Rattus norvegicus: one gene and its partners. The protein of the gene in region 1 purifies or fractionates together with the protein of each later gene. This does not show direct contact. Links are inferred from orthologs where the notes say so. Each region holds a gene or a part of one and is shown in the gene's direction. Other genes may lie near its edges. The genes, in order: Chd4, Top2a, Nolc1, Zmym3, Bcl11b, Hnrnpc and Top1.

Region 1 (3,500 bases):
GTGTCTAACACAAGGATGGTGTGGCAGTTGCCTGTTAGCTCAGCCCCACAGTGAGGAGTGTTGGAAAGATGATCGCAGGCTGTTGGGTTGCATCATTAGTCATTCAGAGACTCTTCGTCCGACCGGTCCTTGTCCTGTTCATGTAGGAAGTACTACAAGTACATTCTCACTCGGAATTTTGAGGCACTTAATGCTCGAGGCGGTGGCAACCAGGTTTCTCTGCTGAATGTGGTGATGGATCTTAAGAAGTGCTGCAACCACCCGTACCTCTTCCCTGTGGCAGCAATGGTAGGTGTGCTTCCTTGGCTCCTGTGCCTTGCCACGTCTCCTTGTGGGTCTCCTTCCATGTTTCTTCCTTTATTTCTGTCACCAGGAGGCCCCTAAGATGCCCAATGGTATGTACGACGGCAGTGCCCTGATCAGAGCATCTGGGAAATTGTTGCTGCTACAGAAGATGCTTAAGAACCTGAAAGAGGGAGGCCATCGTGTGCTCATCTTCTCCCAGGTACGTGGGCCCATCCTGAACTTTACAGACAGCAGTGGGACAGCCCTAGTGACTGAGGAAAGGGATTATCATCTGACAGCTCTGTAATTAAGTGGTTCCTTTTTCCAGATGACCAAGATGTTGGACTTGCTAGAGGATTTTTTAGAACACGAAGGTTATAAATATGAACGTATTGATGGTGGAATCACTGGGAACATGCGTCAGGAGGCCATTGATCGCTTCAATGGTAAGAGAAGAGTGTCTTATCTCCAGGCAGTCAGTTCGTTAACATTAATAAGCTGGGCATGGTGTGTACATAACCTTTAATCCCAGCACTCAGGAGGCAGAGGCATGCAGATCTGAGTTCAAGGCCAGCCTGGTCACCTACAGAGAGAGTTCAGGACAGCCTCAGCTGCTTCTGTCTCAAAACAAAAATGTCATTATTTCGTGTGTGTGTGCCTAGGTACTACTGTAATTATCTCATGTGTGTGCCTAGGTACTATAGTTACAGAGGGCTGTGAGCTACCGTGTGGCTGTTGGGAATTGAACCCAGTTTTATATCCATCCTCTCTGGCCTGGAACTCTCTGTAGACCAGCCTGGACTCAGACACATAGAGATGGACCTTCCTTTAGACGGAGTTATTTGCCCCTGCCCAGCTCTGATCATTTTCCTCTATTTTTTTAAAAGTGTGCATACATGCATGCGAGCTTGCATCTGCATACATGTGCACCATGGCACAGATGTGCGAGTCACAGGAAAACACAGAGTTGGTTCTCTGTGAATCCTGAGGCCTGAGCAGAGATTACCTAGACACCTTTACCTGCCGAACAGCCTCATCAGCCCCACTGGTTTTGTTTTTAAGACTTGATTTTGTTTTGTGTCTGGATGTTTTGCCTGCACGTGAGTGTGCGCCATATGTGTGTGGTGCCTGTAGGGGCCAGAAGAGAGCATTGGGTCCATTGTAGCTGGAGGTCCAGCTGGTGGTGAGTCACCCTGTGGGTGCTAGGAATGAACCCCAGCCTCTGGAAGAGCAGCCAGTGCTCCTAACTGCCGAGCTATGTCCAGCACCTCCATCCCTCCAGAAGCCCAGCTCTTGTTCTTTTGGGTCTTGGTTGACTGACAGGGAGGAGGAAAGCTTTTGAACAAGTAATGGAATAGCTTTAAGAGGTTTTTCTTAACTTCTACCCTTTGGAGTCTTTGGTCTTTTTGCTTAAGCGGGGATGGGGTGGGGGAAGTTCTTTTGGTTCTTTTTTTTTTTTTTTCCGGAGCTGGGGACCGAACCCAGGGCCTTGCGCTTCCTAGGTAAGCGCTCTACCACTGAGCTAAATCCCCAGCCCGGGGTGGGGGAAGTTCTTTAACCCTGGTTATACCCTATGGCTGAAAGGAAGAACAGATTAGTTTTGGTTATAAGTTTTTTTTTACATATGTTTATGTGCCTACTTGTCTCTGTGTATACCATGTTTATACAGGTGCCCGAAGTGGCCCGAAACTTAGAGGCTGCTCTTAGCACCTGTCAGACAGAGGCACTAGGAACCGAACTTAGAATCCTCTGCCAGAGTGCGAGTGCTCTTTATCTGTCTCTACCCCCAGGGGCTCAACTACACCTTTCCCCAACCTTTCATTTTAGTTAGTTATTTTTGTTGGTTTTTTTCTGAGATAAGTTCTTTGTAGTAGTTATCCTTGTTGTTTAAAATGTGTTTGGACTTAAAAGTTTAAAACAATCCAGCGTTAACCTGCCTCTGTCAGTGCCCTTCCCAGGCCCCGGTGGCTCAGGCCTGTGTTCTCAGGCCCTGAGTGGTACAGTAGGAGGGTCGAGATTGCGGTGAGGCTGGGAAGAGCACTGGCTCAATTCCAGAGGACTCAATTTCCCAGCACCTACATGACCGCTCACAACCATTTATAACTCCAGGTCCAGGGAATCCGACATCCTTTAATGGCCTCCCAGTCAGTGCACATACACTGTGAGCAGACATACTGCAGGCGAACACACACATAAAATAAAGTAAGGATCTAAGGAGTAACTCACGGACGCATGAGACCTGTCTGGGGAAAAAGGCAGGGGCAGTGAGGGCCAGCAGGGAAAGTCACATGTCACCCAGCTCGTTTATCAGATCCCTCTCCTACGTGTGAAAGTTCTTGCCAGAAGCCCTCTGACAACACGTATGTACGCATGCACGTATGTGCAATACACAGAATAAGCAAAAAGGCCAGTGAGGTGATTGAGTATGGAAGGTGCATCCTGGCTTACTTACTTCCCTGCGTTTCTACGTCCTGGAGTCACAGTGGCAGGAGAAGACTGGCTCTGTCCTCTGACTTCGTGTGTGTGCTGGCAGGCCTACTCTCACGTACTGACGCATGAATCAGGGAGCTGTCTGGGGATGAGTGCTCACCAACATTGCGTGAGGTCTTGGATTCAGTCCCCAGCACCGCTAAGAGTGGTGACACAGCTGTGACCTCAGCAATGGGGAAGGACGGACAGGAAGTTCAGATTACCCTGGCTATCTAGACCAATCTGGTCTAGATGAGACCATGTCTCAAAAACAAAACAAACAACAAAAACTCAGTAAAGTAAGTTATGTAACTGTGGTACAGCTTCTAACAGTAGAAAATGAATAACATTGGATCCCATTGTCACCTGAACTGTAGACCCTAACTGAATGTTGCTAGTTTTCCCTTAATGTCCTTTTCAGTTGAGGATCCAATCCCAGGTCCCACCAATAGGTCCAAGTAGATTCCACTCTTTATACTTACAGTTGGACAAAACGCTCCTGACATTTCACCCCTAGTGAAATGTCATTCCTGGCATTGGTACTTCAGACTTAGTCAGTTATTTCAAGCAGTGTCTCTTTCTTGAAAGATGCTTGCCAGGAATGCCACAGTGGGATATTGCACGTGATGTCTGCATTTGTCCTTTCTGCTGATTATTGGTTACTTGGTCCTAGGCACGGTGTCTGCTAAAATTATCTACTGTAAAGTTTCTTTTTCTCACTGAAATTCATACATATTTTGAGGGCA
Region 2 (3,500 bases), on another chromosome or scaffold:
TTTACCACAGGTGTCTAAAAACAAGCAAGAAATAGCATTCTACAGTCTTCCCGAGTTTGAAGAATGGAAGAGTGCAAATCCAAATCACAAAAAATGGAAAGTCAAGTACTACAAAGGTTTGTGATGAAACCTACGTAGAAATTCTCAGTTTTGTTCTGTAGGGCTACATGGGGAACTGACCTGTTTTGTTTGTCTCTGTAGGTTTGGGCACGAGCACATCAAAGGAAGCTAAGGAGTATTTTGCAAATATGAAACGACATCGTATTCAGTTCAAATACTCTGGCCCTGAAGACGATGCTGCGATCAGCCTGGTGAGTTGGAGTCAGACTGTCCCTGTCCATTCTGCCTCCAGGAGTCACTATCAGTGTGCTCAGTTACAGCGCTTAGCTCCCAGAAGAGGGTTTGTGCTCAATTTTAGCAGTTAACCCTAGAAGAGTTTTTTATGAAATAAAACTTTTTTGAGGGCTGGAGAGATGGCTCAGAGGTTAAGAGCACTGACTGCTCTGCCAGAGGTCCTGAGTTCAATTCCCAGCAACCACATGGTGGCTCATAACCATCTGTAATCAGGTCTGGTGCCCTCTTCTGGCCTGCGGTGTACATGCAGGCAGAAAGCTGTATGATGTATACATGATAAATAAATACATGTTTAAAAAAAGTGATTTTTGTAAGCATATCTGAGTGACAGAACTAGATACCTTAGAAAATGGGACCTTTGATGTTTCTGTTGTATAAAAAAGATGGGACCGGGCTGCTGAGATGGCCCAGTGGTTTAGAGCGCTGGCTGCTCTTCCAGAGGTCCTGAGTTCAATTCCCAGCAACCACATGGTGGCTCACAACCATCTGTAATGAGATCCGATGCCCTCTTCTGGTGTGTCTGAGGACAGCGACAGTGTACAGTGACAGTGACTCATATAAATAAATTAATTAAAAAAAAATGGAACCAGTAAGTACCAGTGACATCTTTTCTACCTTCTAATTTATAGGCCTTTAGTAAAAAACAGGTCGATGATCGAAAGGAATGGTTAACTAATTTCATGGAAGATAGAAGACAGCGGAAGTTACTTGGCCTTCCTGAGGTAAGAGCTTTAAATATATCCCATAAAGTATGCTATTTTAATTGACTTTAGAATTGGTGTTACACCAAGTTAATATTACTAAGCAGTAGTTTCAGTATAAAATTTGTAATAACTATAGTATATAACACTGGTCCTATGAGCTTATGACGGCATTGAAAAAGTTCGGGTGTTGGGAGTTCTTTGTTTGTTTGGATTTTTTTGGTTTTTTTTTTGGTTTTTGTTTTGTTTTTGTTTTTGTTTTTTTTTCTGAGCTGGGGACCGAACCCAGGGCCTTGCGCTTGCTAGGCAAGCGCTCTACCACTGAGCTAAATCCCCAACTCCGATTTTTTTGGTTTTTGTTTTTTTGTTTTTTTTGTTTTTTGTTTTTTTTTTTCAGACAGGGTTTCTCTGAGTAGGCCTGGCTGGCCTGGAATTTGCTTTGTAGACCAGGCTGGCTTTGAATTCACACAGATCCTCCTGCCAGTATTTGAATCATAGGCAAGACCACCTCCTTAAATGTCTTGAAGTTAAGAGGCAAGACATTTTTCACACGTTTATGCTGATGCTGCTATAAACAGTTACCATGTGGTCAGGCACCTGCAAGTGTGTGCTCTTGTGTGTAATATGAAGTATTTATATGACAAGCAGCCAGGTCAGGCTGGGCTAGAGAATAAGTAAAGTTAAAAAAAAAAAATTAAAGGGCTGGAGCTACAGCTGAGATCGAGTGCTTGCCTGGGCCTTGAGTTTAATTCTTAGTAACACTCCACTTCCCCTACAAAAGAGCTTCAGTGTTTTACACACCGCGGTGTTAGACAGCAGCAACATCATCTACCTGTTGTTTTCCTTTTGTGATTATTTGTCTCTTTGTTTTTCTCTGTTTGTCCTCGGCTGTTGTAAAACTTGCTCTGTAGATCAGGCTGCCCTTGAACTCACAGAGAAGAGATCTTTCTACCTGCCCTCTGCCTCCCAAGCACTGGGATTAAAGGTGTGTGCCACCACTTTCTGGCTCACCTATTGGTTTTGTTTTCGTTTTAATTGTGGAATATTTATTATTGCAATGAAGAATATGTACAGTATAAATGGACAAATGAAATTAATTCATGCAATATACTGAATAGAATCCAAATCAATTAAGACAGAAACACAGGAGATATTTTAAAGACAGAATGTTCTCAATTACAAAAAGACAGAAGGAAGCATCAACTTAGATGGCTTCTCTCAGTTTATGCTTGGTGTTTTGAGTATTTTCTGGAGGAATTCACTTCTGTACAGGCAGGATTTAAACTAAGTTCTAACAAATCCTGCCAGCATTTTGAAAAGGAGTTGTCAAGAATGCTCAAACATCAAATGAAGAAGGAAGAAAATATGTGGTTACAGGGATTCTAGTCTCTAATGAAAGAAAAACAAAATTATGGACAGCTAGCTAAACAGGCAGGTCTGGAGAAGACCTCAGACCACCTACTGCAGTTGTCCCTGCTGCAGAACACTGCGGTCTTCAATGGTCTTTTGCCAGCTCACTTAGGGTGTTTTAAGGAGTGAAGAAGTGATAGTTCTGAGTGTTTTTAGTGTTGTACTAAGTGTTGGTAAGACCAGTAGTTTATTTCCAAGCAGACCCTTTAATGCTGTCTTTGGTCCCTTAGGATTATTTGTATGGACAAACCACTATGTACCTGACCTATAATGATTTCATTAACAAGGAACTTATCCTCTTTTCAAACTCTGATAATGAAAGATCTATCCCATCTATGGTAGATGGTAAGTGCCAGTGGGTTAGTCTGTTTTTACCATGAAATGGTGATTTATGCCCAGAAATTACTAAATTGAAAATGCTAATGATTGTTCTTTCATTTTAAAGGTTTGAAACCAGGTCAGAGAAAGGTTTTGTTTACTTGTTTCAAACGGAATGACAAGCGAGAGGTGAAAGTTGCCCAGTTAGCTGGGTCAGTGGCAGAAATGTCCTCTTATCACCATGGTGAGGTAAATGCACTTTAACATTTCCACCATGCCTTGAGCAGGAATAATTGAAAGTTATCCTTGAAACACATTTGGTACAAGTGTACGATGCTCTCTCTCTGTCCATAGTAGAGAACAGCTTATAAAACCTTTCAAAACTAAAATATGATTACCCTCTGACCAACAGTTCTATTTCTAGAAATAACATTCCACTAGGATATTTGTCTGCCAAGTTATGTTCATAGGTTTTTAGTAAGATTTAGTATTCTTGTGTGATGTAAAAGTTTAGACACCTTGAAGTCTTATGTTTTGTGCCCTTTCTGCCATCTATTCATCTTGAAAAGATCACTAAACATCTAACCCTCACAACCTTAGAAGACTGCATGACTTAGTTGAAGTAGTGAAGACGTACACAGACACAGGTTTGTGTCCCTCTTTGGATCAGAGCAGTGATTGTTCTTTTCCCTCCACAGATGTCGCTGATGATGACCA
Region 3 (4,236 bases), on another chromosome or scaffold:
CCTGCCAGCCCTGGGGCTACTGGTGGGAGGGAGCCACTGCACCCTGCTTGTACAGCCTTGTCATGTATCTGAACACTCAGGTATTTATGGGTTAACATTTACACCAATCCCTTTCTGGGTTCTGTAGAGTTGTTCAGACTGGACTGAAACCCCAGTTCTCCTGCCTACTCTCTTACAGTGACAGCCTGTGCATGGAGATATTTTAGAATACAGACACTTGTGGGATGGAGAAGATACAGTTTTGGGGTTGGTTTTTTTTTTTTTTTTTTTTTTGTTGTTGTTGTTGTTTGTCTTCTGAAGCCAGGGTTTTTCTGTATAAACCTGACTATCCTGGATCTCACTCAAGGGATAACTGCTTCTGCCTTCAAAGTGTTGGGATTATAGTATTTCAAACTCAAAAGAACTCCTCTTCCTCCTCCTTTGCCCCACCCTCCTCTCCCTCTCTCCTCAGATCTACCTACTTTTGTCTCTCAACCCTGGGTTTCAAGGCATTTGCCACCAAGCCTATGAGAATAAAAGTTTTCTCAACTGGGGTTTGTGTCTATTAAGTGTTTCAGGTAAGCTCACCAATTTAATTTGATCACCGTCCTGGCGCGTGGATTTTTTTAAAAAAATTAATATGGATGGATGGATAGAAGCACCTCCTCTGGGAAATAGGATAACATTTCTTTTTAGAAGGAGCGACTGTTTTGAGGAAAGTAAAAGGTGTTCACAGGAAGTGCATCTTTATTGTTTCGTGAGGGATAACTAATGTGACCTGGAAAATAGCTGATAGTGGAGTTTTCAGAATTCAGTGTGACTTCTGACTTAAGGAAGAAAGGGTTATTGAGTCCCTTGATCTTTTCTCTGGAATGAACCCGTGCTCTCCTCCCCCTTTTCGAGTTGTGTATGGTTGGGATAACAGTCTTTAAACCTAGCTGTGACTGACAGTCAATGTGGGATACTAACACCTTTGTCACCACAACTTTTAGGATTGCCTTATGATTTGAGTCTCACTGGGTGTGAAGGATGTGAAGAAGTCATTGTTGGTGGGAGCTTGAGCAGTAGACGACACCTCTAGAAAGGTGAAAGAGACTCGAGTTCTCCATTCCTTTGATTATCGTGGGGTCTGAATAGCAGCCGGGGCTTGGAAACTACGTTTCTATAGATAGAAGTCCATTCAGCAGAGATAATGCGCGGGAAGTTGCAAGTTTTCCCGCCTCGGACGGGAGCGTGACCTCTGACGTAAAGCTCCGCCTCCTTGGGGGGGAAGGCTAGTGGGCTCCGCCCTTTACAGGATGACGACGCGTGTGAGACCGGAAGGAACTTATAGATTTCGCATGCGTCCTGCCTCCGGGGCGGAGGGAGCCCTGCCTCGTGGGGGCCATTCTTCCGCTGCGCGCCGCGCGACGTGATGACGACACTGGGCCCGCCCTCTACCCTGGCTGTGCTCTGGAGTTCTTCAGTCGTACCGCGTGCGCAACGGTAGTGACGCGTTTAACCCGGAGTATGGCGGATACCGGCTTGCGCCGCGTGGTTCCCAGCGACCTTTATCCCCTTGTGCTCGGCTTTCTGCGAGATAACCAGCTCTCAGAGGTGGCCAGTAAATTTGCAAAAGCGACAGGCGCTGTGAGTCCTTGGTTTGGTTTGCGGGCCGGGGTGGGACGACTCTCCAAGGTAGTCTAGGCCTTGTCAGGTTTAGAAGTCAAGAAATCGAGGTCTGGGGTCTGTCAGTCTAATGTCTGTGAAGCCTCTCTGCCGACCTTTCTGAGGCTTAAGGTCTCGGCATCTCTTTCCATCACGTCTGACTAGCTCCGAATCTTACGGCTTTTGGTGAGTTTTGCAGTGGTGGCAGGCATGGGTCCCTCGTGACCTAGGACATGTGGCGATAGATCCCTCCCGGAGCATTGGTTTGGCGGTGCCTGCTTCTGCTGTACTTTTTGTTGGACTTACACTTGGTTGCAGTTTTACCTGAGACTCAAAGATAAATTGTTACTAGTGAAGGCTAGGATCCTATTTATTTATACACTTTAAAAAATGAGTGAGTGCAGGGATAAACTGCGTAGCAATGAAAACTAGGATATCATTATTTATTTAGTTACTTAATGAATGAGTGCAGGGATAGGCTGCTTTCAGTATACCATAGAAAGCGTGAGCATCTTTCCCTGTCAAGTTGGCACTGGGCTTGGAGCTTCAGGTAGTGATATAAAGCAAATGGAGGCTTAGGCCAGATCCACCACTTTCTACATTGATGATCCTGGGCATCCTTTTATTTAAAACAAAGTTCAACCCTTTATATTGTGTATAAAAGTCCTTGTAGAGTGGAAGATGGATGTAAACTTCTGTCCCTCTTGCCTCAGCCTCCTCATCCTAAGCATGCCTGAACATAGCAGGATGCCATTTTGGTTTTTGTTGTCAAGACAAGAGTTTCTCTTTGTGTAGCCTTGGCTGTCTTGCAACTCACTTTGTAGACCAGATTGTCCTTGAACTCAGCTCTCACTCTGCCTACCAAAAGCAGGGATAAAAAGGTGTGCTCAGCCCTATTTACAGCTTTTGAGTGAATGAGATTCACCAAGCGAAAAATACACAAGCCAGTAATCTCATTGTAGACACACAGGGACCATGGGATGAGTGACAGCTATTGTGTCACTTCAAATCCATGTAAGAGCAAAATTAAGTGAAGGAATGTGAAATGTCTCGTCTGCATCTTAAGAAAAGCTGTAGTGTTCATGGAAACACCTTGAAAGACTGTGTAGACTTACGGTCTTTTTTTTTTCAGGGTGATAGCATAACTGACAATTTAGGTTTCTTCTGCTTTATTTCTATTTCTATTTTCTATGTCTCATCGTGTAACCCTGGCTAGCCTGGAACTCATATGCAGAGTAGACTGGCCTCCCAGAGATGCCCCTGCCTCTGATTCCTCAGCGTTGGAATTAAAGGCTGCACCATCATAACTGCCTGGTCCCCTCCTGTTTCTGTGGCCATTTTTGACCTGGCCTTGGCCTTATGATCTTCCTGCCTTAGATCCTGGGAATCTTGGGTTACAGGCCACCAGACCACATAAGAGAGTTCTTTGAGCCAGGGCAGCCTGGCATGTGATCTGATGATACATGCCCACCTGTTCCTGAATGGTCTTAGCCGATGGACCTTCTTCCAGTGCCCCTTACTCCTCCCCGCCCTTCCTTCTTTTTTTCCTTTTTTTCGGAGCTGGGGACCGAACCCAGGCTAGGCAAGTGGTCTACCACTGAGCTAAATCCCCAACCCCCCCACCCTTCCTTCTTAAGACATGGGGTCTCAATATATAGTTATGGCTGTCCTGGGGCTCACTGTGTAGACTTAAACTCATCTCTACTTGTCTCTCCTTCCCACATGCTAGAATTTAAGGCATATGCCACCACACCTGGAACCTTTGTTTGCTTATGTATTCTCTCATGCACGTTGGTGGTTTGCCTGCATGTAAATGTGTGTGATGTGTTAGATTCTGGAGTTCAGACAGTAGAGAGCTACCATGTGGGTGCTGGGAATTGAGCCAATTCTCCAGCCCCGCCTTTCTGACTTTTTTTTTTTTCCTTTCTGACTTTTAAAAGTCAATTGTTTAGGAAAAAAGTTAATAGTTAGAAAATATGAAGCCACAGGTGTCAGGATTGCGTGGATCTGGAGTTAACAGATGTGGGCGCTGGTAAAAGTGTGGATGGAAAGGCATAGGAATAGCTATGCTATAAAGTTTTCATGTTCAGTGTTAGGTGATATGTAAGTGGAATATTTTTCTCCTAATTTATACAAGTAGGAAAAGTCTTAAGATGTAACATCCATTTCAAATTGAGTAGGTAGTTAAAATAACTTTTTTTTTTTTTTTTGGTTCTTTTTTTCGGAGCTGGGGACCGAACCCAGGGCCTTGCGCTTCCTAGGTAAGCGCTCTACCACTGAGCTAAATCCCCAGCCCCTTAAAATAACTTTTTAAAAAAGATTTATTATATATAAATACACTGTAGCTGTCTTCAGACACACCAGAACAGAGCATGAGATCTTATTACACATGGTTGTGAGCCACCATGTGGTTGCTGGGATTTGAACTCAGGACCTCTTAACCACTGAGCCATCTCTCCAGCCAGTAAAACAACTTTTGAGACAAGGTCTCTTTACATAACCCTGGTGTCCTGGAACTCTGTATATAGTCCTCTTGGGCCTTGGCCTCACAGATCTGCCAGTCTGTCTTCCAAGTGCTGGGACCATGCCAGGCTGACAAATTACATTGAT
Region 4 (3,075 bases), on another chromosome or scaffold:
AACCCTACATATCAAGGACTGGAAACATGGCTCTGTCTGTAAAACACATCCAAGCCATAGAGCCATGAGCACCTGAGTTTGGATCCCTAGCAGTCAAGTGAACCTGGGCATGGTGGCCTATGTCTATAACCTAGAGCTAGAGCAGGCAGGGTGGAGATGGGCAGCTTCCCTAGAGCTCATCACCATCACCAGCTAGGTGAGCTCCAGGCTCAGGGACAGACTGTCTCAGCATAATGTAGAGCGGATAGAAGAAGGCACCAAATGTCGACCTCTGGCTTCCACATGTGCACACGTACAACACAAACACAAACTCACACATGCACACAAAGATAACAATCAAATAAAAACTGTACAGAGGAAGAAAAAGAAACTACATTTTGGTTTCCATTCTCTATGGTCCCTTCTGTGGGCCTCTGTCTAACCTGATGTACAAAGGTAGTGGCCATCATTTTTAATCTGACCTAGACGGCAAGCCCAACCTTCTAACAATCTGTTTTACCAATTATTTTGTCTGCCTTCTGAGATCACCTCTTTAAAATATCACCTTGGGAATGAGTGTAAACACTTTAGCAGGAAGAACTGGGGAGGGCTGCAGCGGAATACACAAATAGGATGTTGGGTTAGTATGGAAAGGCTAACACATTCTTCTGCTCTCCCTCCCTCCCTCCCTCCCTCCCTCCCTCCCTCCCTCCCTCTCTCCCTTTGTTGTTTCTTTTGTAACAATGGAAGCAGAACCCAGAGCCTTGTCTATGCCAGGCAACCTCTCTTCCACCTAGCTACACCCCCAGCCCTTCGTTACTCTCCTTTTATTTCTTTATGGAGCTGTTTTTGGTGATTCTGCGGCCTTATCTCAGTGTCCTTGATCGTGCTCTGGGTGGTGGCTCCTTGGGCCCATGTTCTACTGAGTCTGGGTCATTTCTCCCCACTATAGACACAGGTCCTGGGAAACGAAAGAGAGAAGATGAAACTATCTTAGAGCAGCGTGAGAATCGCATGAATCCCCTCCGCTGCCCCGTCAAGTTCTATGAGTTCTATCTCTCAAAATGGTGAGTTGGTGACTGTATAAGAGTGACTTCCCATGGAGACTGAAGAGGCCCGCTTTGCCTTGCTACTACTGATGTCTGTCTTCCCATCTCCATCCCCACTGTTCTAGTCCTGAAAGCCTCCGGACTCGAAACGACGTGTTCTATTTGCAACCCGAGCGCTCCTGCATTGCTGAGTCACCTCTCTGGTACTCTGTGATTCCCATGGACCGAAGCATGTTGGAGAGCATGCTCAATCGCATTCTGGCTGTGCGGGAGATTTATGAGGAACTTGGTCGTCCTGGGGAAGAAGACCTAGACTGAACCCACGTGGTACCTTGTATCCATCTATCACATCCGTGTCTGTCCTGTGGGGTAACTGGCCCAGGAACCAATGCTATCCATTCTGAAGGGCCTTGACTGGCTCCTTCTTTTCTCTCATTCCCTGCCTTTCCCAGGAACCCCTGCCTTTAACCTTCTTTCATACCACTTGATAATCATGGGGCCCCAGTGTACTCAGGGGCTAGTCCCCCAGTGATGGACGTGAACCAGGTAGCCTGTTTTGTTTATGTAAACCCTTTCTGCTGGGGCCTGACTCTGATGGAGTGATGATAGCTCTGGTGATCCTGTTGGCTTTGGGTTTCCTGACTGCATCTATCTAGGTGAAGCCTTGTGCTACTAGGTCTGACCTAGGGAAGAACCCAGCTGCCTTCTCTGCCCTGTATCCTCTCTCTCTCCTCTTCCCCTGTACCATGTGAAAGGTCTGAGAGGTCTGAAAGTGAGGGACCATTTACCTAAAGCACAGAGCTCAGACACTCTGATCCCTCCTAAAAGAAGTGATTGTTGGCACTCTTCACTACCATGTCCCTTACCCGACCGTTGGAGCACCACTTGTTGGTGCTACAGTTTCTCAAGAGTTCCAAATGCTTTCTTTTCCCCAAAGGCAGAGAATGACTCAGTATGGGGAGCAGACTCCAATTGTGCAGATGATTCCTGTCCCCTTGGTTTATGTGTTTGTCCCTCTCAGCCATCTTAGGATGGCATGAACCATGGTGTCAACATGCTTAGCCCCTCTGTAACTGCCTCCCTTTAGTTCTATGAACAGAGCTCCCAAGGCAAAAATGACCTTCTCACTTGGATTGGGGCTGGGTTCCCCGATGTTCTACCCCTATCATCAGAGCCAGGCCCACCCTATGGGTCCTAGGCCATCCAGGATGGGGTTTGTGGTCAAAAGATAGGTGAGGAGCTGTGGGCCAGGGTCCTGTCCTACTGCCTACGTCTTCTCTTCCCCATCTTACCTTTGTGGGCCCAGAAAAGTTAGTGTCTGGCAGAGGGAGCACCCAGTTCTTTCCCTGTTGGCTTTGCTGTTCCCTAGCCTTCTTTTTGGTGTTTTTATAACTGTCATCAGTTTAGCCACTGTTAAAATGTATATATTGTACTGAGGTGCCTGGCCTGTTCCTTCAGTGAGCCATGCCTACCCTTGTGTTGTAGTGAGAAACTGTTGTCACAACTAACTTGTCTCTGGAATTGTTTCAAATAAAGAGTTAAAATTGTTCTTTGTTTTCTCTGGGGGAGGGAGAGCTGGCTTTGTAGAGTGGAAGACAAGAAAAAGAAGACTAACTGTGGATCCTTGAAGATTACTCTGACCTTGTCCAATGAATATCAGAAAGTTGGTCCTTTTGTCATACATTTTCAGATACATCAGAAAAAATATTTTTCAATAGCCCTTTATTGAGCTGGAGTTGCTTATGTCTATAATCCCAGAAGTTGGGAGGTAGAGGCAGGAAGACTAGGAATTTAGTCATCCTTGGCTACATGTGGAGTTCAAAGCCAACCTAGGCTATGTGAAACCCTGCCACAAAATGGGGATGGTCTGGAGATGTAATTCAGTGGTAGAATATTTGCTCAGCATGCACAAACTCCTAGATCCAATCTTTAGCAACACATAAAACTAAGGACAAGTCTGTTATCCCAGCATTCTCTCAAGGTCATCTTTAGCTACATTGAGACAGGCTACATGAGACTGTCTCAGCAACAACATCAAAAACAAAAA
Region 5 (4,285 bases), on another chromosome or scaffold:
GGAAGTTTCTATAAAATACCCCCCTTCCCAAATAAGTAAAACCAACTGTAACTACTTTTCCAGGGAGTGAAGTAAAACAATTGTATCTGTCGCCTCAGTCTCCCCCCCCCCCCCGATTTCCAGCCCTCCTTCTTGAGTGGGTGGGTTTAGACTTACTTGGACTCAGTGTACCTCAGTTACTCACACAGCACTCCGCCCCCTTTCTCAGGGAGTCCGGCTCCCGGGGGAGGAAGAGTGAGTGGGGACAAGATTTTATTTTATTTACTCCCCCCCACCCCCACTTTTGCGAAGCCGGTGCTCGGTGATAAGACCAGCTCACAAAAACAGTAGTTTGCACGTGTGGCCGGCCTGGGTTGCGGGTGTGCGCACTGGCGAGTGTGTGTGAGTGCGCGCGCGCGTGTCTCGGTGTGTGCTTTCTTGTTCTCTTACAGGGTACAATGTTAAAAAGCCACCGCTAGTCGCCCCCAGTGCTCCGACTCTCTGGGTCTTTTTGTCTCTAGAGCAGATTAAACGTCACGTCCGCACTTGAACTTGAATTTTATCCCATTGTACAGAGGCAGCCCCAGCCACAGAGAGACCGAGAGCTCCCGGAGAACCCGGACTCCGCCATCTTCACGTTGCAATCTATAGCTCCCGTCCACGCCCGCACCGACCCGGGCGCATTGGGCGAGCCGCCCCGCAGTCCCGCTCCCCCTGGGCCGGCGGCGCCGGGCAGCGCTGGGGAGCGCACGCGGGGACCCGCAGCCCCTCCGGCCGGCGCCAGCCTGCCAGGTGACCCGGGAAGGAGCCGCTCCCGGAGTCCCCCAGAGCCTCGGAGGGGTCAGCCTCCGAGAAAGAAAAAAAGCAGGCAGCGCGCAGAAAACCCAGAAAGAACCGAACCAAGGCAGTTTTTCATTGCTTTCGGGTTTTTTGAGGGGGCGGGGTGAGGGGGTACGAGACAAGTCCCCAAGTTTTCTTTGCCTTTTTTTTTTTTTTTGCTTTTTTGAAATTTGTTTGCATTTTTCCTCCCCCCTCCCCTTGGGTGGAAGTGCGCGTTCCACCTACCAGACCCCGAAAGAAAAGTGTCAGAGGCCGGTGCAAAACCCGGCGTAACTTCAAGAAGACATTTACAAGTCTAAGAGGCCAAGCACTTTGAAGAAGTGTGAGAGATATTTTTCCTCCAAAAGAATATATTTTTAAAGAAACCGGCCAGCCCGCGGCGAGCAACAGCAGCTTTATAATTTATTTTAGCCTTTCTCTATTTTAGAGCAAGCCATCTTCCTGGCTTTTTCTTTTTTCTTTTTGCAAAAACAAAAACAAAAACACAGCCCAGAAGAAAAAGCAAAATAAAGACGAAGAAGAAGAAGAAGAGGAGGAAGAGAGGAAGGGCAGAGGCACCAACCCGGGCGGAGGAGGAGGCGCGGCGGCGGCGGCGGCGGCTCAGACCCCCTCCCCGGCCCGCATCTGTGCAGCTTTCCGGGCGATGCCAGAATAGATGCCGGGGCAATGTCCCGCCGCAAACAGGGCAACCCGCAGCACTTGTCCCAGAGGGAACTCATCACGCGTAAGTGTCCGCCGCACGCGCGAGGGGCCGGCGGCTGGGGCTCCGGGCGCCCGGGGCTGGGGACACCAAACCGGGCTCAGAGGCCGAGCGTGGGGCTCTGGGAAAGTTTCTCTGCAGCCGGGGGCAGCCGCCGCGGGCTCCGGGCCGGGGAGGGGGTGCGCGGGCTTGCAGGCGGCTGTGCGCGCCGAGCCCGGCTGGACGCTCGGCCCTCCAAGCGGCGTGTGTGGCGGCGGCGGCGCTGGTGGCGGGGTTTGGAGAGGAGGGGGAGGGGGCCGGGGAGCGGAGGGGGAGGGGGAACCGGGAAAAGTTGGCGAGCGCGTGGGTCCGCGCTCGGAGAAGCGGGCGGACGGAGCCCCGAGTGAGCCCTGGACCCGAGGACCCGCAGGGTAAAGGGGTAGCCGCGGGCTTCGGGTTCCCGGTCGCTGCGCCCCGCCAGGCAGGGCGCCGACCGCGCCGCTGCTAGGATTCCGAAGCCGCCGTCCCCTCCCCTCCTCTCGCTATTTGCAAAAGAATCCAGCTGCGCAGCTGTTTGCTGGGCTGGAGCACCCCCTCCTCATTTCCCCACCTCCGTCTCCTGGGACGGTCTTGTCTTCTTTCCCCCCCAACTCAAAAAAAAAAAAAAGGTGTGGGGGGAGGTTTTGGGTTGGTGAAAAAAAATCCCCGCCACGAGTTAAAAAAAAGAGTCATGAGTGGGAAAAGAGGGATGCTCTTGTAACAGTAAAAATGAAGAGGAGAAAAAAAAAAGGAAGGGGAGAAAATACCTATCATCCTCTTATCCATCTCTCTATCTCTGTATCTTTCATCTTCCCCATCTAAATAAACAAGGCAGGTCGCAGTGCAAATCCGCCGGATTTCAAGCAAGTGGCGGGGCTGGCAAAGTCAGGCAGCAGGGCAGACACTCAGCGGCTTCCAACGCCCCAGCTGGGTTCGTTTAGAAAAGAAAACGCCAGCGCGAGCCGCGCAGGTACACAGTTCTCCCGGAACCCGCCGGGTCCCGGCGCTGCCACCAGCGAGGTCGGCTTGCAGAGCTCTGGGACGCCCTGGCCGCAGCCAGCGCGAGTCTCTCCCCGCGGGTTTTTTTTTTTTCTCTTTTGGTTGCGGTTGCTTTTTATTTATTATTTTTTTTATTGCAATAGAAATAAAATTTCCTCTGGGTGCCATCGAGACCTCAGGCAGGTTGTAATCTTGCAATTCTTCGCTCACCTCACTGCGTTGGGGCCGGGCTCCCCGCGCTGGAGCTGGAGAAGCCTGTGAATGACGGGCCGCCGCTGAGGACTGACTGCCCTGCAGTCGAGAGCCGAATATTTATGTTATATTTTAAAGAATTTAAATAAATAAATAAATATATAAAGGGGCTCTCCCCTCCCCTCCAACCCAGCACAGGAGCCATCTGCTCGAAGCTATTGCTGTTCCCATCTCTCCTTTGTTACCGCAGACACGTTAGTAAGAATTCGTGCGTTTATTATTATTATTATTATTATTATTATTATTATTATTATTATCTCGGGGGGCATATATATTAAAGTGAGGTTCTTGGGAGAGGGATGTCTCTTACGGGTAGAAGGGAAGGGAAGTTTCCTTTATTTTTTTCAATGTTGTAATGTCAAAGGAGACTTGCTGGTTGCATTTAAAACAAAATGTTTTGCAGCCAAATTTGAGCCTGGTCTCATCAAGATCCTTTTGACCACTTGACATTTATTTTCTTCCTTTAGCATGCTGCAGCCATGGGTTATTTTACAGTCCACTTCCTACCTTTAGGTGAAGTGGTTGTTAAAACATCCACACTTCCAGACCCTAATTTGTCCAAGAGGCAGTTTGCTGCCACCCCCATCCCCTGTATAATTGCAAGAATTGTTTTTGAGGGGGGGGGTCTGTGGGAAGGGGAGAAGCTGGTAGCCCCTGACACTGGGTCATTTGCAGTATTAGGGGAAAGGCAGATAGATTTGCTGTCCTTCTCTGGGCATCCCTGGGACATCCTGAGCAAGCTCTGACCAGAGGGACCGGTGGCAGCTGGGCCTGGGGGTGAGGGGTGCTTCATGTGACATCCTTCCATGCATTTGGTTCTCTGTCTCACCCTTGCTCTGAGCAGCTGGGAAAAGCCAGCTGATGCTTCTGCAGAGGCAGAGAAGGCAAGAGTGCTGGAGAGAAAAGGGGGCAGCAGGCCAGGCTGCTGAGCAGTTCTACCTGCCTTCTGGGGACCCTGGGAGCCTGGGCATTGTTTCAGGGGGTTAAGCAGGGAGAGCGGTTCAAAAGGTGTTCAGAAAAGCAGCTGGCTTTTCTGTCCGTGCAGTATCACCCCAGAGGTAGCAAGACCGGGATGCAGGAGATACAGTGTAGCCTGGGGATTGTGACTAGTTATGAAGCATGGGATACAGGAGCTCTGATTGCAAAAGGCCTGGGCAGCCGAGCAGGTGTTGTCTCAGCCCCTACAGACACTCACTCCCATGTGAGATTTTAGATCTGAAGGAAACCATCTAAGACGTGGCCGATCGGTTTTTTTTTTTTTTTTTTTTTTTTTTTTTTTTTTTTTTTTTTTTTTTTCAGTTGGGTGGCAGCCTTGGGCCTGTGGGGCAGTAGCTTAAGGTTCTTCGGTGATGATGCAACTTCGAATCACTGATAGTCCAGGAAACCAGAAAGGCCCCAAAATAGCATCCATGATCTTGGTGTATGTGTCGGGAGTAGGGGAAGGGCTTCTTCCTAGTGTGTTAAGGTTACTGTAGGCAGGATGGGTAGGAAAAGGAC
Region 6 (4,191 bases), on another chromosome or scaffold:
GTCTGACCCTGACTAAATAAGTAGCAAAAAAACCAAAGCGAACTTCCTGCTTGCTACTCTGGTTTGGATTCAGGTGCACCTCCCTCACCAAAGCCAACTTCTTTACAGAACTGCTTTGCCTGTGCTTAGGAGCTCTGTCAGAGGAGATCATTGCGTGTTTGTTCCTAACACCAGGGAAGTGAAAACAGAAGGAACCTGGGGTTCAATGGCCCGCAAGCCTAGCCATGAAGGGCTTCCCATTTGTCTGTCTACCTACCTACCTCTACCTAGGTACTTATATTTATTGTTTTTTCGACAGAGAGTTTCACTATACAGCCCTAGCTGTCCTGAAACTTGAGTAGACTGGCCTTGCACTAGAAATACCGCCTAGCCCAAACCTTTCTTTAAAGAAAAAAAAAATAAAATAAAATTGGGAACACATAAACTCGCTGGACTGGAACATTTAAAATAAATCCTTTGAAAATGTCAAAGGTTTAAAGGTCTAAAGAAGACCTAAAAGATTATTTTTTATTTTTAAATCAGGAAATTTCCTGGGGTACTCTTTCCCTTTCTCAGTAGGCTATATACATTTTTGGCCTGTTTAATGTTTCTACAGTGTAACCAGAGCTTTACTGGCCGAGCTGAGGGGGTTAAGTAGTATCAAGCTATTGCAGGAAGTGGGAAACTGAGGCGGCTGGCCATTGGTTTTGCAGATTGTGTGACGACTTGGGCCCAGGAAACGGGTTTATAGGGGTCTAGGCAATTGCTCTTATAGGAGAGAACTATGGAAACCAGTTGGTTTGGAGGGAGCTGTTCACTGACAAGGCCACGTCCTTCCAATAGCTTATAGAATCTGGCAATGAGAGGGGATCTGAATTTGAAAATAACTGCAGACCTGTTTAGTTTTTAACACTTCAGGCGGCCTAGGGATTACGATCCTCCCTTCTCTAAAGCTTGTTTGCACTTCCCTTTTTTTCCAAGGCCTGAGGCTAGGGCAGGCCCTTTGCACCCGCTACCAGACTCCACCCAGGCTTTCCCACCTCCGTGCCGCGGAAATGCGGTGATCTGGCCGGACCTAGGATCTCTAGGAAGCACTGATAGGACGACACGGCCGTCAGTCAGGTCCGCCGGATACCCGGATGAGAAGCTGTGCGCGATACAAAGGCGAAAATTCCACCCAGCTTTCCGTCTGGTACAGTGACCAATAACCATCCGTCAGACACTAAGTGATAGAAAGCTTAACCAATTACTAAGTAGCTTTTGTTACGCATGTGGAAATTCTCCCAATTAGCCCAACCCACCTCGTGTGATGATTGGACGGAATTGTGAGGAGCGGTAACGCTATCTAATTAGGAGCGGGAGCGAGAAAAGTCACAGCCAATAGAAACGCCTCCGGGAGCGGGGCGGGGGCTGGACTTTTGCCTCGGCGGCAGAGGAGCTCGGGGGCCATTTTGTGAAGAGACGGAGAGCGAACGGTCGTGTGGTTCCTTGCTGTTGTAGCTCCGGCTTCTCGGCGTAGACCCGCAGTAGGAGAGGCAGGCTCTTCTCTCTCTCTCCTTCCTCTTGGTAAGCGGAGAGGGCGAGGGCAGGGGAGGCCCTGGGTTGCTGGGCCCCGCGAGGGGGTTGTAGGCGAGAAAACGGCCTCGCGGCAGAAACCGAGGCCGCGTTTGTTCCTGTGCGTTGGGGATTGGGTCTAAGGCGGGAGGCAACAGGCCTCGGCCTTGGCGCAGGTTCAACCTAGTGACCTCTAGGCCACGGTGCGTACGAAAATACCCTCTTTGCGCGCTGGTGTTTAACGGCTACTTTCATTTCCTTCCCCCATTAGGATTCCAAGGGGGAGCAGGGGAGCAAGAAAGCGAAGAACGAAATGCTTGTTAATGTAATTGTAGTGAATCTCTTACTCCGTTATTGTCTTCTAAGCTAAATGTCGGGCGTGGGTGGGGGAGCGATAACATGGTGGTGTAGTACTGGAAGCTTCTAAATTCCAGGCCGGCCACATGGCATCTGAACGGCGTTTTAACAATAGATTAAGTAGTGATTACTTTTTTCTTCAAGGGATAGATGGGTAAAAGTCGGGAGTGCTTTTGGTTTGTAAAGGGAAGTGCCCAAGGTAAATTGTAATTGGAATAATTACAGCTTTTTATCTGCAGGTTACAAATCACATAAGTTAGTGGAACTTTGCTTGAGGTAGGTACTGCTGTCCTAGAGAGAAGTGAGACTTAAAAGTGGTTGACAGGACCGGACTAAATCAGTAGTAGAGAAACTAAGATATTTCTAGGCAGGTCAAGTTACTAGAATAGACTATACACAAGAAGAGACTTAGCCGGTAGGTGGTGACAGTGCACGCCAAATGCCTCCCACCACTTGGGAGGCAGAGACAGGCAGATCTCTCTGAGTTGTGGGCCAGCCTGGTCACAGAGAGAGAGTTCCAGGACAGCTCGGGCTACACAGAGAAGCCCTGTCTCAAAAAGGGGGGTGGGGTGGGAATGAGTTTTTCTTTTTAGAGGAACCTGATACCGAAATTTACAGGACATTTTCAATCTGGACTTGGGAACAATAATTAAAAGGCACAGAAATAGTTTACAGATACTCCAGTATTAATCCTACCCATCTAGAATGGAAAAAAAGCAGTTTACAGCTAGTTATGGTAGTGCAGGCCCGGAATGTTTGCATTCTGGAGGTTCAGAGACAGGAAGATCCTGAGCAAGATCCCATTGCAAGGCAGCCCAGGACTACATAGTAAAACATGTTTAAAAATTAAAGTAGTTGCTCTCTTGTAGGTGTTGAGTTCTTTTTTTTTTTTTTTTTAGATTTATTTATTCTATATAAGTACACTGTTGCTGTCTTCAGACACACCAGAAGAGGGCATCAGATCTCTTATTACTGATGGTTGTGAGCCACCATGTGGTTGCTGGGAATTGAACTCAGGACCTCTGGAAGAGCAGTCAGTGCTCTTAACCCCTGAGCCATCTCCTCCGTCCGAGTTCTTTTAAATATAGCTAGTGATAGTGCTTAGGATTCAAGATGCCCAGGATTCAATCTCCCATACTAATAAAGGGTTTTTGTGTCACATTAACTTACCTGGGAGTTATTTCATTAGATAAACTTATTATAAAATTGGTATTTCACTCTGGCACAGTTTTTAATCTCAGCACTAGGAAGGCAGGAGATCTGAATGTAGAGTAAATCTAGTAATTCTAGGACAGCCAGGGCTATACAGAAAACAATGGGTTTGATTAAGTGACAAAAATATGCTACTAATCTTAGTTTAAACTATACACACATTTTACTCTTAAGCATACTTCATGGAATGTGCATGGCCTACTCTTGTAATTTGAGCACTTGGGGGATAGAGGTAGGAAGAGTTCAAGGCCATCCTTGGTCCAGCTTGGAGTATTAAGACTGTCTAAAGAAGAACAAATGCAGACAAAGGAAAAAAAAACAGCCTCCCACATTTTTTGTTTGGTTTCTCTGTGCAATAGGCCTGGCTTTTCTGAACCCACTGTCTTGATTAGGCTGGCCTTGAACTCTGATCCACCTGCCTCCGCCTAAGTAAGAGATGGGATTAAAGGCATGTGCCTTTAAAAAGTAGATAGAGTACAGGGTTTTGCCTGGTGAACAGTGAAAACTAGGTAAGAGAAAGTATTATAAATGTCAGAAGTTATGCAAGGTTACTGGTAGTAGTTGATGTATACTTGCCATTAAGTGTTATAAATGTAGGCCAGGCTTGGTAGGCACCTTGTTCTGGTAGAACATGTGGATTTCTTGGAGTTTTGAGGCCAGACTCAAATTACATTTTTGATTTGACTTGGGAGGAAGCTGTTAAAATTGCAAGGTTTGGATCTCTCATTTGCCATGGTCAAGCCATTTTCCAAAATGGTTGGTAATGGTTACTATTTTTTCTGTAGAGTAATTATAACATGTTTGCAATTTGATCTCTAGATTTATTGGCTTGTGATCTTGTTATAAATGGGCATGGCTGTTCAAGCAAGTAAGGAATATATTCCTAAATAGTTCGTTACAGTCTTATAGATGATGAGTGGAAGTTACTAACTAGGGAAACTACAATTGAAAAATCTTGGCTGTGTAAAACTATGTAAGTATCCAGTAAATTAGACTTCTGGATTTGTTTTGAGATATAAAACAAGCTAAACTACTACTTTATATGGAAATTTTGAGTTCTCATTTAACCCTAGTCATTGCTGAAAGTAG
Region 7 (3,500 bases), on another chromosome or scaffold:
TTGTGATGCTTTTGGTCTGTGAACTACTTGAATAGTAAGGTTCTAGAGGAAGGTCTTACTTAGGCTTTTTATGTGGGAAAAATCTGGGCTTGCCTGCTATGAATATATATTTTTATTCATATTCCACCCACGTAACTTTGAAGAAGAAAGATGCCTATTTCTTTTCCCTACAATTCCTTTCTTCCACTCCCTGCCCCTATCCTTTCCTCCCCTTCCTGAACAGAGGCTGCTTAGCTTAGCAGTGGCAGGAGTCCTTCTGAGGATTTGATTTTTAAAAACCATTGAAGAGGTGTAAAGGACCCTGCTTGCTGAAAGGAAAAGGAAGAGTGGCTGGGCCTTCCCCAGGTCATCCCTGTCCTGAGCAGGCACCTGGGAACAATTAACTGGCATAGTCTCCAAAAAAAGACCCAGGTAAATATCTACTAAGAGAAGGAGAAATTTTATAAGTAGATATATAACAGTTTGTTACTCTGTTGTTGTTATAACTGTGTGTCAGCAGACCTTTGTACACCTTGGAAAGGTAAGCAATCAGTAATGACTTCTCCAGTAGTCAGTGCACATATAATAAGAGTTTTGTGCCTCACTGTTTGGAACCATTTTCTTCCTTTAGGTAAAGTTATGAAGCTGAGTCCCAAAGCAGAAGAAGTAGCTACATTCTTTGCAAAAATGCTTGACCATGAATATACTACTAAGGAAATATTCAGGAAAAATTTCTTTAAAGACTGGAGAAAGGTATTGTGGCCCATGTGTTCATATCTTATAGTTCACAAAAGTGCTGACTGGGAAGTGTAGCCCATTTGTTAATGCCTTAACAGTTTATTTTAAAAAACCACAAAACATAGTTTAACTATATCTTTTGTCCATTACTATTTTAAATGGGTTTTGTCCAACAAGAATATATCTCAGCATTCATGTGACTGCAGGAAGGAGTTTATCAGATTGGGTTAAACAGAAAACCTCAATTCCAGTTGAGCAAAGGAAACAGCATTGTTTCTGCAGGGATTGTCTTCTGATGCCTTTGCACAGGATTAGTCTGACCACCCATTCTGTCTTCATCCATGGTGACTTACCCATACCATGTTAGCCTATATAAAAATATCATTGTTCTCCATTTGGATAATTGTGAATAAAGGCTGAATTAAAATTCATCATCTAAGGCATTTATTCTAAAGTCAGACTTAATAAGAGCAGAATAAGTTGTTCTGCATGGGAATAAGAAAGCGTTTCTCTTTATTGCTAAAGTAATTGGTTAATACATGTCTCTCTCTTTTTTCTTTTTTTTTTTTTTTCTTCTTTTTTTCGGAGATGGGAACCGAACCCAGGGCCTTGCGCTAAATCTCCAACCCCAATACATGTCTCTTGAGTTGGTGTTTTGTCAAAGATTCCCAAAGAAATGAGAGTAATTTTTCTCTTTGATAAACCACTAAAATGTACTTATATTAAAAGTATACACCTTATAACAGAATAACCCCTCTTCCCAGAAGAAGGGTCACTGAGGTTGGCTTCCCTTCTAGATAACCTTTGATTAAAGGAAAAAAGATTTAATTGTGAAGAAATAGGAAGACTTATTATATTTACATTTTTTTTTTTTTACCTTTTCACTCAACTAGGAAATGACTAATGATGAAAAAAATACGATTACCAACCTAAGCAAATGCGACTTTACACAGATGAGCCAGTACTTCAAAGCTCAATCAGAAGCTCGGAAACAGATGAGCAAGGAAGAAAAATTGGTATGATAGAAATCGTGGGCAGTGATTCTTTGTCTAATTTTTTGGTTCCTGTGACACGACATTGAATTCATTAATTTTATATTTTTCTGTTAAAGATTTACTTGGTAAAGTCTAATTACATGTATGAGTTGTGTTAACTGGTAGCTCTCTGTGTTGGTACATGTCTGAAATCTCAGTATCCAGGCCTGAGGCAAGAGAATTATTGCCAATTATGTTCCATTCTGTGATGGAAGCAAGAACTGTGATGTCTCCACAGAATAAGCAAAGACGCTGCACTAGACTTTTCAAGTCCAGTCTAGCTGTGGTTCAAGTCTAGTCTAGCTGTAGTTTAAGTCTAGTCTAGCTGTAGTTTAAGTCTAGTCTAGCTGTAGTTTTGAATCAAATCACTGAGATTTGGCCTATTCACGTTTTGAACGTTTCTTATTTTAATTGTATGTGCATGTATGCATATAAGTGTGGAGACCAGAAGATAACTGATGATCTGGAACTGTTCCGTGTGGTTTTGTGCTACCCAGCATTGGTGCTAGGAATTGCTCTAATCATAGAGTCATTTCTACAGCACCATTGATTTTAAACATAAAGATCATTTTGGACTCCTGTAATACTAGTCCAAGTAACAAAAAGCTTTTAGAAACATTGCCTGTGTAAGCCACTGACAAGGGTACCTGTGGCCAGTAAGTTAAGCAGGACTTGGTTATTGAATCACTGTGATGTTGCACTCTTGTAATCCCAGAACTAGAAAGAGCTAAGCAGGAGGATCAAGAGTTTGAGGATAGCAAGGCCCTGTCTAAAAGCTAAAATAATAATAATAAGAAAGGCAAGGTTCAGGAGAACCCTCACACACGAATCACCATGTATAGGATAGAGGAGAATGGTTAGAATGAGGAGGCTGAACTCCCACATATACCATACCTTTGTGGATTAAGAATCATGTAATATAAAGTGTGGGTTAGAGATTTAACTCAGTAGGAGAATGATTGCCTGGCAAACATGCAGCCCTGGGTTTGCTTCATCTCAGAAAACAAACAAAAAACTTGAAACCACATACCCAATAAAGTATTTGAGACAGGTTCCTTGGGGACTTTAAACCCCATGGGAAATGCTGTTAAGTGGCTCTGACAGTGATCTTTTAGGAAATAATGAAATGGTATGACAATTTGTGATAATAGGTAAGTGTTCTATAATTTCCCTTCATCCCCAGTCCCTAGCATGAGTTTTTATTTTTAATTAAAATTTGGTTATAAAGAACTATGATGGTTTGTATATGCTTGGCCCAGCCAGTGGCACTATTAGAAGTTGGTGCCTTGTTGGAACGGGTGTGTCACTGTGGGTGTGGGCTTTAAAACCCTTATCCTAGCTGCCCGGAAGTCAGTATTCTGCTAGCAGCCTTCAAATGAAGCTGTAGAACTCTGAGCTCCTTCTAGATGTTGCCGTGCCCTCACCTTTGTGATAATGGACTAAAGCTCTGAACCTGTAAGCCAGCCCCAATTCAATATTGCCCTTGTAAGAGTTGCCTTAGTCATGGTGTCTATTCACAGCAGTAAAACCCTAACTTAGGTAAAGAAAAGAAACCAAAACAACAACAAAACACGAACACCACACACTAAAATTAGCCAGACCCAAATTTAAGCTTTACCTCTCAATGAAACAGAATAGTGAGTCTGAAGGTGTGCATTAAATTTTACACTTTCACTGTCAAGTGTATGTTTTATGCACTTATCTTCTACCACAAAACAAACCGAAACAAAAATCCATGAGAGTTGACAC

Evidence for each region.
Region 2: the proteins of Chd4 (region 1) and Top2a purify together in Homo sapiens (affinity purification with mass spectrometry; 3 studies listed by BioGRID and IntAct, with this or other methods). This does not show direct contact. The link is inferred for Rattus norvegicus from reciprocal best matches to the Homo sapiens genes CHD4 and TOP2A.
Region 3: the proteins of Chd4 (region 1) and Nolc1 purify together in Homo sapiens (affinity purification with mass spectrometry, with the first as the bait; 3 studies listed by BioGRID). This does not show direct contact. The link is inferred for Rattus norvegicus from reciprocal best matches to the Homo sapiens genes CHD4 and NOLC1.
Region 4: the proteins of Chd4 (region 1) and Zmym3 purify together in Homo sapiens (affinity purification with mass spectrometry; 3 studies listed by BioGRID, with this or other methods). This does not show direct contact. The link is inferred for Rattus norvegicus from reciprocal best matches to the Homo sapiens genes CHD4 and ZMYM3.
Region 5: the proteins of Chd4 (region 1) and Bcl11b purify together in Homo sapiens (affinity purification with mass spectrometry; 4 studies listed by BioGRID and IntAct, with this or other methods). This does not show direct contact. The link is inferred for Rattus norvegicus from reciprocal best matches to the Homo sapiens genes CHD4 and BCL11B.
Region 6: the proteins of Chd4 (region 1) and Hnrnpc purify together in Homo sapiens (affinity purification with western blotting; 3 studies listed by BioGRID, with this or other methods). This does not show direct contact. The link is inferred for Rattus norvegicus from reciprocal best matches to the Homo sapiens genes CHD4 and HNRNPC.
Region 7: the proteins of Chd4 (region 1) and Top1 purify together in Homo sapiens (affinity purification with mass spectrometry; 3 studies listed by BioGRID and IntAct, with this or other methods). This does not show direct contact. The link is inferred for Rattus norvegicus from reciprocal best matches to the Homo sapiens genes CHD4 and TOP1.

What each region holds. Positions count from the first base shown.
Region 1 is NC_086022.1:159,598,318-159,601,817, forward strand, and holds part of Chd4 (chromodomain-helicase-DNA-binding protein 4), read left to right. Parts: exon of another isoform or gene 1-146; coding exon 147-288; exon of another isoform or gene 289-373; coding exon 374-505; exon of another isoform or gene 506-613; coding exon 614-731; exon of another isoform or gene 732-3,500. UniProt on the Homo sapiens protein: ATP-dependent chromatin-remodeling factor that binds and distorts nucleosomal DNA. Acts as a component of the histone deacetylase NuRD complex which participates in the remodeling of chromatin.
Region 2 is NC_086028.1:84,456,094-84,459,593, reverse strand, and holds part of Top2a (DNA topoisomerase 2-alpha), read left to right. Parts: intron 1-10; coding exon 11-116; intron 117-201; coding exon 202-311; intron 312-983; coding exon 984-1,076; intron 1,077-2,695; coding exon 2,696-2,810; intron 2,811-2,910; coding exon 2,911-3,032; intron 3,033-3,481; coding exon 3,482-3,500. UniProt on the Homo sapiens protein: Key decatenating enzyme that alters DNA topology by binding to two double-stranded DNA molecules, generating a double-stranded break in one of the strands, passing the intact strand through the broken strand, and religating the broken strand.
Region 3 is NC_086019.1:254,868,923-254,873,158, forward strand, and holds the start of Nolc1 (nucleolar and coiled-body phosphoprotein 1), read left to right. Parts: upstream 1-1,436; 5' UTR 1,437-1,488; coding exon 1,489-1,608; intron 1,609-4,236. UniProt on the Homo sapiens protein: Nucleolar protein that acts as a regulator of RNA polymerase I by connecting RNA polymerase I with enzymes responsible for ribosomal processing and modification.
Region 4 is NC_086039.1:70,568,073-70,571,147, reverse strand, and holds the end of Zmym3 (zinc finger MYM-type protein 3), read left to right. Parts: intron 1-931; coding exon 932-1,046; intron 1,047-1,153; coding exon 1,154-1,346; 3' UTR 1,347-2,575; downstream 2,576-3,075. UniProt on the Homo sapiens protein: Plays a role in the regulation of cell morphology and cytoskeletal organization.
Region 5 is NC_086024.1:132,688,303-132,692,587, reverse strand, and holds the start of Bcl11b (B-cell lymphoma/leukemia 11B), read left to right. Parts: upstream 1-1,485; coding exon 1,486-1,543; intron 1,544-4,285. UniProt on the Homo sapiens protein: Key regulator of both differentiation and survival of T-lymphocytes during thymocyte development in mammals.
Region 6 is NC_086033.1:27,279,916-27,284,106, reverse strand, and holds the start of Hnrnpc (heterogeneous nuclear ribonucleoprotein C), read left to right. Parts: upstream 1-1,391; 5' UTR 1,392-1,545; intron 1,546-2,129; exon of another isoform or gene 2,130-2,166; intron 2,167-4,191. UniProt on the Homo sapiens protein: Binds pre-mRNA and nucleates the assembly of 40S hnRNP particles. Interacts with poly-U tracts in the 3'-UTR or 5'-UTR of mRNA and modulates the stability and the level of translation of bound mRNA molecules. Single HNRNPC tetramers bind 230-240 nucleotides.
Region 7 is NC_086021.1:169,772,195-169,775,694, forward strand, and holds part of Top1 (DNA topoisomerase 1), read left to right. Parts: intron 1-610; coding exon 611-732; intron 733-1,610; coding exon 1,611-1,733; intron 1,734-3,500. UniProt on the Homo sapiens protein: Releases the supercoiling and torsional tension of DNA introduced during the DNA replication and transcription by transiently cleaving and rejoining one strand of the DNA duplex.